Linked DNA regions of Cricetulus griseus. Each later gene encodes a partner of the first gene's protein in a complex. Links are inferred from orthologs where the notes say so. Each region holds a gene or a part of one and is shown in the gene's direction. Other genes may lie near its edges. The genes, in order: Lrp6 and Sost.

Region 1 (6,544 bases):
CAAAGATAATAAATGATATAAGTAGTTTTTAAAAGGCTATATTAGCTCAAAGTCCTAGTAAATGAAATAAAATTTATATGGACAGAATAAATAGACAAATCTGCTTTTGGTTGGCTTTACAAGAAAAAAACTTATTATTAATTTGTAGTCAGGCATCTTGGTATAGGGCAGTAGTCCCAGCATGTAGGAACCTAAAAATGAAAGCTCCTAGCCAATAGATTAAGACCCTGTGTCTGAATAGTGCGGCGTGCGGGCGTGCGTGCGTGCGCTCCTGATTGCTATTTTCTCCAGAAGAATAAGGTTTCTCACACTTGGTATTGCTGGTCTTAGGGACTGCACAGTTCTTTGCTGTAAGGCTACCCTATGTATGCACTACAGGATGTTTAGAAGCATTCTTGGTCTGTATTTATCCAGTAGTCATCAGTAGGTTTCTCACATTTTGACATTCCCAATGCCCATGGATGCAATATCACCCTTAGTTGAGAACTACTGCTCTAGAGGTATCTCCAGGGTGTGATTGGAGCCACAGTTGTTTATAGTTATGGGGGAAAGCTGGTACCTCCTCTGATCAAGACATTGTCAGATTCCTGGACTATCTTTGCTATCCTCAGCATACTCTTCTGTTCCATAAAGCAACCCAGGGGGATATTTGAAATGCATGTTAACAAGCAGATATACCACTCATAAAAGCCCTTTCTATAAGAAATATCCCCAAAGACTGGATACCCTTCTGAGGTGTGACCTCACAAATTAATAATTGTGGTCATGGCCTGTAGTTTGGTGTGGAATCTAACTTGTGTGTTTTTTCCTTTCTTTAGGGTTTTACTGTAGTTGTTAGCTCAGTTCCAAATCAGAACCTCGAAATACAGCCCTATGACCTCAGCATCGATATTTATAGCCGTTACATCTACTGGACCTGTGAAGCTACCAATGTCATTGATGTGACAAGATTAGATGGGCGATCAATTGGAGTGGTTCTAAAAGGCGAGCAAGACAGACCCAGAGCCATTGTGGTAAACCCTGAGAAAGGGTATGTTACAAAAGCCTCAGTTTTCCACTTTCGCCTCTGATGCCCTCTTCACCCTTCCTTGCACCAGCAAACAACTCTACTCAGTGTTTCCCATTTACTTGGTCCTGCATTTTCTTACTGTTTTTTCTGATTTTACTGCCCAGAGTTCTTTCATTGGTTTAGTTCTAAATCCCACCCATACCCTCCAGGACTATTTCACTGCCACATCTTCTGTGTGGCTTGCCTTGATCTCCTTCATCCCCCAGCCAGGTGTGATTCTCTCACTTCTGGAATCTAGTGCCTACTCTGTGTCTTCTTAGTCATGATTATTCCTTTCCAGTTTGCTTTACTCAACTGTTTTTCTGTTACATGGTTATTACTAGACCTTCGGCTCCATTATAAATAACTAGTATGTCTGCTTTCATTTAATGGAGTTTGTATGTGATTTAGAAAAAAAAAAAGTCAATGCTCAGCTGCATCTGAATAGATGATAAGGGCATTAGCAGGAAAATGGCTTAATTCTAGAGTTACAGAAAAGGGATGAAACCTATAAATGATTTGTGTGTCCCATCTTTGGTAATTAAAATGGTTAATTAGAGAAATGCCTAAAAATTTTGTAACTAGATCTCTCTGGACATTATTTTTTTCTGTGAAATTTAACTCTCTGAACACTTACTTCTTGGTGCCCTCTGTGACTGTTATTAAAAATAATAAATATATCCCTTGACCTTTGTAAAAAAATAGACTGGGAGTGGGCAGGGAGAACCTGGAGAAAGTTTAATCAGTAGGTGCTCTCAGTTGAGCAGCTCTAGCACACTATTGCACAGTAGGCTGATTGCTAAGAGCGACCGACTGCAGAGTGCATACCCCAGAAGTCCATCAGAAAGACTTTGTTTACCGTAAACAGTAAATGCTTGAGGATATAGATATATTTAACCTAACTATGAAGTATATCCGTGCTTTGAACTGTCCGATTATTCCATTATATGCATAGTATGTCTTTGCATATAGCTGAGAATTTTTAGATAGATTTGAAAGTATTTTACCTCCTATCTTTATAAATAAATGTTTGTGGTTTGGGGGATTAAGCCCAAGGCCTTGCACGTGTTATGCAAGTGGTCTCCCACTGAGCTGTACTTTCTGCATATTCTTAACAAGAATATTCTCAGTTTGTCTGGCTCTTTGGTAACTTTTTCTCCTGTTGTTTTCAGGTATATGTATTTTACCAATCTCCAGGAAAGATCTCCTAAAATCGAAAGGGCTGCCTTGGATGGAACAGAACGGGAGGTCCTCTTTTTCAGTGGCTTAAGTAAACCAATTGCTTTGGCACTGGACAGCAAGCTGGGCAAGCTCTTCTGGGCTGATTCAGACCTCCGGCGAATTGAAAGCAGTGATCTCTCAGGTACCCAAAGTGTTTCTGTATCGTGACTTAAATTTTAAGATGATTTCACTACTGTGCATTTGTACTTCTTTTGTGTTGTTTTTGTACATGATTATAATTTTTTCATTAAATATATTCTGCATTATGTTAGTTGGGGGGATGTTTGAGATTACATCCTTGTTCCCTAATTACTCAGCAGTTTTGTTGATCTGAAAATTATGTATCTTTTTGTTTTCTTTCCTAATTCTTCCACTCTACTTTTACATTCTGTCCTCTCTGAAATCTAGCCTATGATTGATCTCTCTGCATTTTTCCATATGAAAGTTCAGAAGCACTCTCCCATATGCAGACGTTGTTCTGAAGTGTGTTTCCTAATATGTCTCCTTAAGATCTGAGTATTCTCACTCTTCAAACAGTCATCATTTTTACCTTTTGTTTCTCTGTGGTCTTCTCTCTTCTATCATAATTCATGATATCCAGTTTCTGCATGGCCTCTTTAGTGACCAGGAAGATAAAATTGAAATAATACACTGTTTATTTTTGTCAGAATGGCAAAAAGTATGTTGAAGTTTATTAAACCCAGTACTTGCCAGGATGGTAGAAATAACATACTCTCCTAAGGGTGAAGGTGGAGCTCATTGGTACAGCATCTGCCTAATGTGAATGCTGAATCCTGTCTCCCGCACCACAAATCCAGGACACTTTGGGGTCAATTAAAAGAGTAGAACCTCTAGTGGAGGACAGTCTGCCAATAGTTACCAGGATTGAAAGGAGGTAGAGCCTTTGATTTGGCAGTTACTCTTTTAGATGACTGTCTGACAGAAATACTAACAGAGTGATCACTGAACATCATTTGTGATAGTGTTTCATGGAGAAATTCCATGTAGCCTATCAGTATGTGACTATCAGTGCCACTCAAGAATAAGGAAAGGTGTTAAGTGCTTGTAATCATAGCACTTGGAAACAGAAGCAGGAAGACTCTTATTTTGAGACCTGCTGGACTAATTCCAAAAACCTGTTAAAACAAAAACAAAAACAAACCAGCCAGCCCCCACCTTGCTATGTGAACCTCTCTGTTGCCTAAAAGCAGTGGTGGAATTTCTACATAATAGAGACAGTAGCACACCCATTTGTACCGACAGATAAAAATGAATGTGGATTCTCTCCAAAGTTTTAATAGTCTAAAGAACCTATCAACATTATATGAGAATTGTCTCCCTAGCACTTGGTAATGTTGGGGATTTTTATAAGTCCAGTAGTTTGAAATGTATATAATAGTAGCAATTTTTTCTTACTTATGGAAATGGAACAAAATTTCTTTTGTGTTGATTGATAGTTTGCATTTCCCTGTTTCTTACTGCTCATAAGTCCCATCCCCCGTCCCCCGACACCCCCCTTTCTGTCCCCATACCACTGTTTTAAAGAAAGCCTTGCACTGTTTACCACACTGACCAAAAACTTGAGGTACCCCTGCCTGCTTATGCCTTCTGAGCAGCTGCAATGTGGGTATATACCACTGTACTCATCTGCCATTTTCCACTTTGAATTTCTAGAATTTTTTTGTGGGTTCAGAATATGAATTTACTGCTAAGGTATATGAAAGTGAATCTGTCTGGTCAGGGTCAACCTTGGCCTTGTTTAGTAGAGTTTTATCTGGAGTTATCTTGTACTTTGAGGTTCATGGGAACCTCCATTTGCTGATAAGACAAGAAACTTTGCATTTTTGTCTACTTAGTCTCAATACCATTGACTAGACAATCTGCCTTTTCCACTATTTTGAGATTTAAGTTTAAAAAAATAACTGTTTTGCCTGAATGCATGTTTGTGTAGTACATGTGTACCCGGTACCTGCCAGGGACTGGAGTTAGAGACGGGTGAGCTGCCGTGTGGTCACCTGGAATCATGCAGCTCACTGCTAGAGCACTTGTCTAGCTATAAGCAAGGCCTTGGGGTCAGTCCTCAGAAATGCGCGCGCATGCACGCACTCTCTCTCTCACACACACACACACACACACACACACACACACACACACACACACACACACACGAAAATTCTTACACATATGAGTCCATAAAACTTTTGATTTTGGCCGGGCATTGGTGGCGCACGCCTTTAATCCCAGCACTGGGGAGGAGAGGCAAGCGGATCTCTGTGAGTTCGAGGCTAGCCTGGTCTACAGAGCGAGTGCCAGGATAGGCTCCAAAGCTACACAGAGAAACCCTGTCTCGGAAAAAAAAAAAAAACTTTCGATGTTGCTGACTTGTACATGGTCCTCCTTTTTCTTCAGAGGATATGTTCTGAGATCCTCTGAGAGCATGGATGACACCAAACTCTAGAGGTGCCAAGAATCACCTGTCTATGCTTCAACATTACCACACCATCCAGAAGCTAATCCCCCCTGCCTTGTATTACTGTTCTTGGACATTGAGTCCAGGATATTACAGGATTAGTCCATAACCTGTGAGTCAGATGGACTGTGTATTTTTAGAAGCCAAGTGGAATCAGGGTAGAATTGTTTTTGATAAATGTCTCAGGTGTTTGCAGAACGTGGGGGGTGCTAAGCATAGAACCCTGGGCTTTCTACCACTGCTTCATCTAGACAAGCATTGCTTTCATCTGCTTTGTTGTGTTAGTTTTTCATATAATTTAATTTGAAAATGGATTCTGCTAAAAACAAATTGAAACTCACTGTCCCAAGTTCTTTGCTACATTTCCTAACTAGAAAAGTCCCTGTATATTGGTAATTAATTCCCAGTTGCACATGTCTGGTTTAGTACCGTTTTCTGGTACAGTTAAGTCTCATGGTGCAGAGCTTGTATTTCCCATACTTTTCGAGTCCACTTAGTATTCATTGGATAACTGTGGAAAGTGGGATTTGGCCACACAAATCATTACTGTTGAATATTTTCCTTTTCCAAGGTGCCAACAGGATAGTGCTAGAAGACTCTAATATCTTGCAGCCTGTGGGTCTGACTGTGTTTGAAAACTGGCTCTATTGGATTGATAAGCAGCAGCAAATGATTGAAAAAATTGACATGACTGGTCGAGAAGGAAGAACGAAGGTCCAGGCTCGAATTGCTCAGCTGAGTGACATCCATGCAGTAAAGGAGCTGAACCTGCACGAGTATAGTAAGTGAGGTGGACGGTGCAAGAAGCACTGTGTGTGTTGTAAGAAACAAGACATGGTCTTGTGGCTTCTTCACATCATTTTTCTTCTTTACTTTGTTATTACATTTAGAAAAACATTGTTGAGTATGAAATCTTAGCACCAAGGGGTGGAGGCAGGAAGGTTGCCCACTTGAAACCAGCTTGGACTGTCTAGCTAGACCTAGTCTCAGTAAACCAAGACCTGGAATGTAGCTCAGTAGTAAAGCACTTGCTTAGCACCCACAGGACCTGGATTTGGTCTTCAGACCAAGTAGATAATTGAATAATATTGTATACCTGAAAGACCGAGAACCACCTCTGTTGATGCACATTCAGATATCATAAGTAATGTCCGTTTGGGGCATTCTGCTCCTTTGTGGATCGTCGACAATCTTAACATCAACACAAATTTATGTAGCACCCATATTATGATGGAAAACAAATCATAATGGATGGCTCTATTGCATAATGATAACAATACTGTAACAGCAAACACAGGGTTGTTTGTAACACAAGCTAAATAGAAAATTCAGAGCAATGACTTCATAAAGTACAAGTTGTGAAATCGACATTGAAAAGTCGCCTAATGGCTTGTCTTTTTAGCTTCACCCAAGTAAGAGGAAATTAGATCTTTGTTATGCTATCTTTGGCAGTTGAACAAGCATATAATTTTGTCTATTTCAGTTCCATGTGACCATTAAGTTTTTCCTTCTACTAACTTTAATGTTCTACAAATTATTTATTAAAATATGCTTTTTTTAAATGAAATAATTTATAATTTATCTTTTAGAAAAGTAGAAGTTCTGAGTTAAAATATTTAAAAGAGAATTCTCAGTTTTAGAAACAAAACTATGTGTCAGAAGTCTCCCCTGGCAATTTTTCTAGTTCTATAAATCATTTTTTTATTATTAGGCTTTTGAAACCAGCTTTTGTTGTGTGGTCCTGGCTGGCCTGGAACTTGCTGTGTAAACAGTCCTGGCCTTAACTTACGGGATCCAGCTGCCTC
Region 2 (6,644 bases), on another chromosome or scaffold:
GGGCTACACAGAGAAACCCTGTCTTGAAAAACAAACCAAAAAAGGAGGAGGAGGAGGAGGAGGAGGGGAGGAGGAGGAGGAGAGAGAGAGAGAGAGAGAGAGAGAGAGAGAGAGAGAGAGAGAGAGGAGAAAGAAAGAAAGAAAGAATACCCTATACCCTAGTCAAGAGGGATCAAGAGACCTGAAGTTTCACTTAACCTTGAGAAATGATAAGGTTTTTGTGTAGAGTAAATACACCCATCACTCTCTTAACCTCAAGTGAAAAAGACAAGGCAGGCACTACAAGCAGGTTCTCAGAGCTATCCTGTGAAGGGTAAAGCTCCCGTTGGCCGAGAATGACCCAGAGGGATGGGCCATTAAGGAGTTCAATTTCTCTGTACACACCCTTTTTCCTTTAATCCCAAGCCTGACCTCTCTCTGGTCACTTGGTTTCTCCTTTTATGTCCAGCAGGTGGCAGAAGTGTTCCAAGAACTGGTCCTCATCTCCATCAGCTATGAGAACCATTTTGCATGGTGACAGAACCCCTGCCCAGGAACTGCCCTCTCCCAAGTCTGGAGGGAGCAACAGGCCGGCTCTCTGGCCCAGATAGGGTTAACAGTCCACATTCCAGAGCAGGGAAAAAGGAGACTGGAGGTCACAGACAAAAGGAGGGGGCAGCTTCTAACAACACCACAGCTCTGGTGTGAGAGATAGATCACCCCCAACAATGGCCACAGCTGTTTTTGTCTGCCCCGAAGGAAACTGACTTAGGAAGCAGGTATCGGAGAGGGCCCTTCCTGGAGGGGCTTCTGTCTGCCTTGTAAAGCTGTCAAAGCAGCTGCATTGATGTGTGGGGGATGGGAGATGAAAGGAGGACACAGGCGGTTGGCCACAGATGGACAGGCCACTTACAAGTCGAGGCAGGTGGCAGAGCCCTGCAGAAGCGGTGCAGGTGGAGGACACTGATTCATTGCACAGTTAGCATACCGAGGCAAAGTGGACCATAACCTCCTTCCCAGCCTTCCTCCAGGGCCATCTCAGCAAAGGCTTCTGCAGGTCCTTCCTCCTTTTTTTGCACCTCAGGTGTGAACCCTCCTGCTCATACCCCTCCTTCTGCCTGTCCATGGCCCTCTGCTCCTGCTGGCTGAGCCAGCAGCTCCTTTGGATTTCTTTGTGCCTAGACCAGTGGTTCTCAACCTGTCCGTCGAGCCACCCACCCCCAACCCCGCCGTGGGGGTTGTTGAATGACACTTCCAAGGGGATCAACCACCCTGAGATGAAGGGAAATATCAGATATTTACATTATAATTCATTACAGTTACAAAGTAGCTATGAAAATAATTTTCTGAAGAACTGCCTTAAAGGGTCACAGCATTAGGAAGGTTGAGAAGCAGTCGCTTAGATGGACCTGAGATGGCTCTCTGAAACTCCCCTGTTATATATGTCCCTTGGATTTTTCATCTAAGACTCAGTTGCTTATGAAAATATAATGAGAGACTGGAGAGGTGACTTGGTGAGTAAGAGCACATGTTGTGCAAGCATGAAGACCTGAGTTCAAATCCCTACCATCCATGTGGAAAAGTGGTCATACATGCTTATAACCCCAGGATTGGGGGGTGGGGGGTGGGGCAGAGGCAGGTGGATCACGGGAGGCCACTAGCCAGCCTAACCTGAATGTCTCAGGAAGAGATCCTGTCTCAGGGAATAACCTGGAGAGTGACAGAGGAGCACACACCTCCCCTGGTCTGTATGCACCCACACATACATGTACCCTCTCACACATATACCATGCACACATGTACACAGCAAGTGTAATACTCTGAGAAATGGCGGCACTAACTGAGAAATGTCACCACTAAAAGCACTGGCCTTGGCTTTTGCTAAGAAATAGGATTCTGTGTTGCCTGCCCCAGGCCTGGCCAGGGAAGGAACTGCCTTTGGCACACCAGTCTATAAGCCACATCAAGTTCCCTGGCTAAGCATCACCTGTGATGGATCCCAGGTCCCAAAGGGTAGAAGAGATTTCCTCTTTGTGCTCCATCTCCAAGAGCTGTGCTTACCCTCCACCTGTTGCCAGAATCCCACCTTCTCACCGGTGGCTCTGGACTCTCTACTTCTCCCTGGTTTTAAGGAGAAAGCCAAGGGACTTTTGCTCGGAATCTTCAGTGCTGAGCCATATGAACTTGAGGCCAATGGGATTTCTTTAAAAGCACCCGTGTAGAAGAGTGCTTGCATAGCAAGCATGAGACTCTTAGGTTGGATTCCCCCAAATAAAAAAGGCATCCTTCTGCTTGTGGGTGGGTAGTGGGGTGCAACAGACACCTTTAATTAAGACCATTAGCTGGTGGGGTGACAAAGGAACTTGGCTAGAGGAATTTGGTCAGCTGGACTCTGCCTTCTGTAGAACTCCACATGTTTCCTTTGTTAAGCTGGCCCACAGTTTGTTTTGAGAATGCCTGAGGGGCCCAGGGAGCCAGACAATTAAAAGCCAAGCTCATTTTGATATCTGAAAACCACAGCCGTCAGAACGTGGGAGGTGCTGGGAGAGTTGGCTCTGTCCTTGCCTCACCGCACCCCCTCCCACTTGGGTCACCTGGGAGTGCCAGCAGCAATTTGGAAGTTTGCTGAGCTTAAGAAGTCTTGGGGAGGGCTTGCTCTGAGCACACCCCTTTCCCCTGAGGAGGGGGGGTGAGGAAACTTGGGAACAGCCCTGTTCTAGTCCATCCTTATTGGCTGGCATGAGGCAGAGGGGGTTTTAAAAGGCGACTGTATCTAGGCTGGGGACTGGAGCCTGTGCTACTGAGTGCCTTCCTCCATCTGGCACCATGCAGCTCTCGCTAGCCCTGTGTCTTGTCTTCCTGCTTGTACATGCAGCCTTCCGTGCTGTGGAGGGTCAAGGGTGGCAAGCCTTCAAGAATGATGCCACCGAAATCATCCCTGGGCTCAGAGAGTACCCTGAGCCTCCCCAGGAGCTGGAGAACAACCAGACCATGAACCGGGCAGAGAATGGAGGGAGACCTCCCCACCATCCCTATGACACCAAAGGTATGGGATGGAGAAGACAAGTTGTTAGCATGGGGGCCCGGGAGGTAATGGGGGTAGTTTTAGAATCTGCTCTTTGGAGGCCTTGGAGATTGGGCGGATAGTTAGCCTCTGCCACACCAGGGGAGGGACAAGCTTGCCTGGAAGAATGCTAGCACAGCATTAGAGTCTGAGGACAGGCTTGGGGAGGGGGGCTGGCTGAGCACCCAAGACAGGGGTCAGGCCGAGATCAGCCGAAGCTGGCATTAACTTAGGCAAGGGCTTGTAGGATGGTTCAAAGAATCTCCTAGATCTGGCTGGACCAGTGGGAAGGTGACAAGGTAAGGCTGGTAAGCACCTTGATGGATGCTGTGGCTGTACTGTATGGCCACCCCATAAGGTAATCCTAGCTTGAAGGTGGATAGATTGAGGCTCCTGAGATAAAGCCACCTTGGAGAAGGGGTAAAAGAGCTGAGACTGGAAGCTGGTTTGATCCAGTTGCAACACAACCCTAGATTGGGTTTGGATTGGAACCTGAAGCCGGAAAGAACCCCCACTCAGTTCCCCCTGTTGGGCGCAGTGGGTTAGCATCAGAGAACAGGCTTTTAGGTACAGTTTTAGCCAGTGACATGACTGGCAGATGAGTGTAGCGTCCCCCCATATGGGCACAGGTGGCACCATCTGCCCTCTGCTTGCACCCTGGCCCAGCTTTGTCTCTCCTGTCTCTCCTGTCTCCTGGCCAGTGAGGAGAATGGGGAAAGCGCTACCCTGGAGAAGCAGGAGCAGAGGAGCGTGCAATGTGGTCACGTTTTGCAGAGGAAGTGCCTGACCTAAGGACACTATTCTTGGAAAACCCCCAAACTTATCCTTCCCTGGGCAAATCGACTCGCCTCCACATACCACCTCTACAGGGGTGAGGAAGTCAAATCAGCCCAGAAACCAAAGAGCCAGCCACAGAAGGGTAACACTTCCGCAGCTGTGCCTGCTCTCTGGGGTGGAGGTGGTTGCTGGCCTCTGCTTCTCTCTGGTTTTGGTTCTGGAACTTTTTTTTTTTTTTTTAAATCTTTTCATGCCATATTAGGGCTCATTCTGTGAAACTTTTGGGGGTAGACAGGACTCACATATGAATTATCTAGCTTAAAAGCTCCTGTCCACCCACCTAAGCCCATGGTGGGAGACATAGCCTGGGTGTGTGCATGAGATGAGGCCAGGCATGGGACCCAGCCTCTTCCACAGAAGGCAGGCTTGCATCACCATGAGCTATTGTTCAAGGCACACAGAACACGAGAGCCTGGTATGCAGCAGGTGCTAAACAAATGCTTATGGGGGTAGAAGCTGTAGGGCTGGGGGCCAGAACTCTGACTCCCTCTGCTAAGGAAGTAGCTAGCGAAGAGTGAGCAGCCCTCTCCCCCCCACCCCAACCCCTCCCCAACCTGGGATCCTCTAACAAATCACTTTCACCCTTGAAGGAGCCAGAAGGTGCTGGCATCCTAGGCAGGGGTGTCAGGCAACCCAGTCCTGCCTTTGGGGCAAGTTCTTTTCTCAGCCTGGACCTGTGATAATGAGGGGGTTGCAAACGCCGCCTTTGGTTGCTTTCAAGTCTAATGAATTCTTATCCCTGCCACCCGCCCTTCTACCCGCTTCTCTACAGCAGCTGTCCTGATTTATTACCTTCAATTAACCTCCACTAGTTTCTCCATCTCCTGAGCCCCCGTCCCTGCTCCAGTGACTGGTAAAAAATTTAGAAGGGACCAGAGTCAGCCCTAGCTGGCTAGCGGCTGCTAGGCAGGGCTGGGGATAAGGAGCTAAATTTCTAGAAGATTGCTTGGCTATTATGCGCGAAGCTCAGGGCCGGATCCCTAGTACCTCATAAGCCAGACAGTGGGTGATCCACGCCTGTATACCACCACCGGAGAGGTGAAGATGGGAGCTCAGACACTCAAGATCATCCTCAAGTACACAGCTCATTTCAGGCCAGCCTGGGCTACATAAGACCCAGTCCCCAAACAAGAACATACTGCCAGCTCTGACTGTGCCATGTAGCGCCCGGTATAATGCGCATGTAGTGGATGAAGCCATTGAATCCTGGGGCAACCTGTTTTACAGATGTGGGGAAGAGAGACGTTAAGTTGCTTGCCCACCGACCACATAGAAAGTAAATGGCCGAGCTCTGGTGTTTGATCACTGGCTTCTAAGGACAGTGAGCAGCCAGGGAGAGATCTTCCCCTGCAAGCTCCAAAAGTACCTGGTGCTTCCTTCCTATAAGCCATGCATGGCTGAGAAAGCGCCTGGAGAGCAGCAGGTTTGGAAAAAGCAGGGAGAAAATAGCGGGAGCAGGCCAGCCTGGGCTAGGCTGCCGCCCTTACGCTTCGCTCTCTCCGCAGACGTGTCCGAATACAGCTGCCGCGAGCTGCACTACACCCGCTTCGTGACGGACGGGCCGTGTCGCAGCGCCAAGCCGGTCACCGAGCTGGTGTGTTCGGGCCAGTGTGGCCCCGCGCGCCTGCTGCCTAACGCCATCGGCCGCGTGAAGTGGTGGCGCCCAAACGGACCCGACTTCCGCTGCATCCCGGACCGCTACCGCGCGCAGCGGGTGCAACTGCTGTGTCCCGGCGGCGCGGCGCCGCGCGCACGCAAGGTGCGTCTGGTGGCCTCCTGCAAGTGCAAGCGCCTCACCCGCTTCCACAACCAGTCGGAGCTCAAGGACTTCGGACTGGAGACCGCACGACCGCAGAAGGGTCGCAAGCCACGGCCTCGCGCCCGGGGCGCCAAAGCCAACCAGGCGGAGCTGGAGAACGCCTACTAGAGCGCTCTCGGGCTCCCGCAGCCCCCGCGCGATCCGACTCGTTTTCATTGTAACGCCTGTAGCCCAGGCCAGGGGCGCCAAACCTTCCAGGCCATGCGGAGTCCCCAGCCGCTAGAGTCCCCTTGCCCTCCTGCCGGTTGCGGGAGTTCCCGCAGGCCAGGAGAGGGAGCTGAGTCATAGACACTGAGCCACTCTGCCCAGCCAGGGGCGGTGCGGGGGAGGGGGGCTCCTACCCTCGCCGGTCCCCTACAGGACACGGTAGCATTTTCACCGTAAAGGGAGCAGAGTGTGGAAGGACCTGGCACTGGTTACAGAAGTACAGTAAGATTCCCCACCCCACCCCACTGTAAAGCCCGTGTGTGCAAGAACACAGGACTAGATAGGATTTCTGGCCTTGGCTTGGCCACTGAGTGTGAGTTTGGGCTACGTGGTTCTCTTCTGGTACCTCAGTGTCTCCTTTGTAAAATATGGGTCACGGTGAGATTAGACTCTCCAAGGACTCTGCTGAGCTTCCAAGGGTTGGGGTGCTCCCATATGGACAGGTGGAGGAGACAGGGAGAGAATGAGGGAGAGAGAGAGAGAAGAAAAGAGATTTCTGCTTGGCAACCTCCTAGAAGAGGCTGTTGATTCCCAGTCTGGCCTCCCCGGATGTTTGGCTACCCCCACTCCTTCGTCTCAAATTTGCCTTCAAACTGGGGTAGAGAAGGACAGGGTCTCAGAGATGGTGGAAGGGACAGAAATCGCACCCCTGGTCCCCAAAGATCAGTTTCCTGCCCCCCACTGCCTTGCCATATTTCAAAGGGATTTTCCACACAACAGTTTAAGGTCGTGGGGGAA

What was found.
Region 2: the proteins of Lrp6 (region 1) and Sost are in contact, whole or in part, in a crystal structure (PDB 6L6R), measured with the Homo sapiens proteins. The link is inferred for Cricetulus griseus from reciprocal best matches to the Homo sapiens genes LRP6 and SOST. Residues at the interface, in NP_001401174.1 of Homo sapiens: Arg28, Asp52, Val70, Ser71, Glu73, Leu95, Ser96, Asp98, Glu115, Arg141, Trp157, Trp183, Asn185, Ala201, His226, Phe228, Trp242, Met269, Arg336, His361, Asp379, His404, Asp406, Thr422, Glu447, Arg449, Trp465, Trp491, Asn493, His534; in NP_079513.1 of Homo sapiens: Leu115, Pro116, Asn117, Ala118, Ile119, Gly120, Arg121, Arg169, Thr171, Arg172, His174, Asn175, Gln176, Ser177.

The regions. Positions count from the first base shown.
Region 1 is NC_048601.1:14,479,262-14,485,805, forward strand, and holds part of Lrp6 (low-density lipoprotein receptor-related protein 6), read left to right. Parts: intron 1-818; coding exon 819-1,030; intron 1,031-2,220; coding exon 2,221-2,411; intron 2,412-5,310; coding exon 5,311-5,520; intron 5,521-6,544. UniProt on the Homo sapiens protein: Component of the Wnt-Fzd-LRP5-LRP6 complex that triggers beta-catenin signaling through inducing aggregation of receptor-ligand complexes into ribosome-sized signalosomes.
Region 2 is NC_048600.1:116,128,024-116,134,667, forward strand, and holds Sost (sclerostin), read left to right. Parts: upstream 1-2,805; coding exon 2,806-3,025; intron 3,026-5,385; coding exon 5,386-5,807; downstream 5,808-6,644. UniProt on the Homo sapiens protein: Negative regulator of bone growth that acts through inhibition of Wnt signaling and bone formation.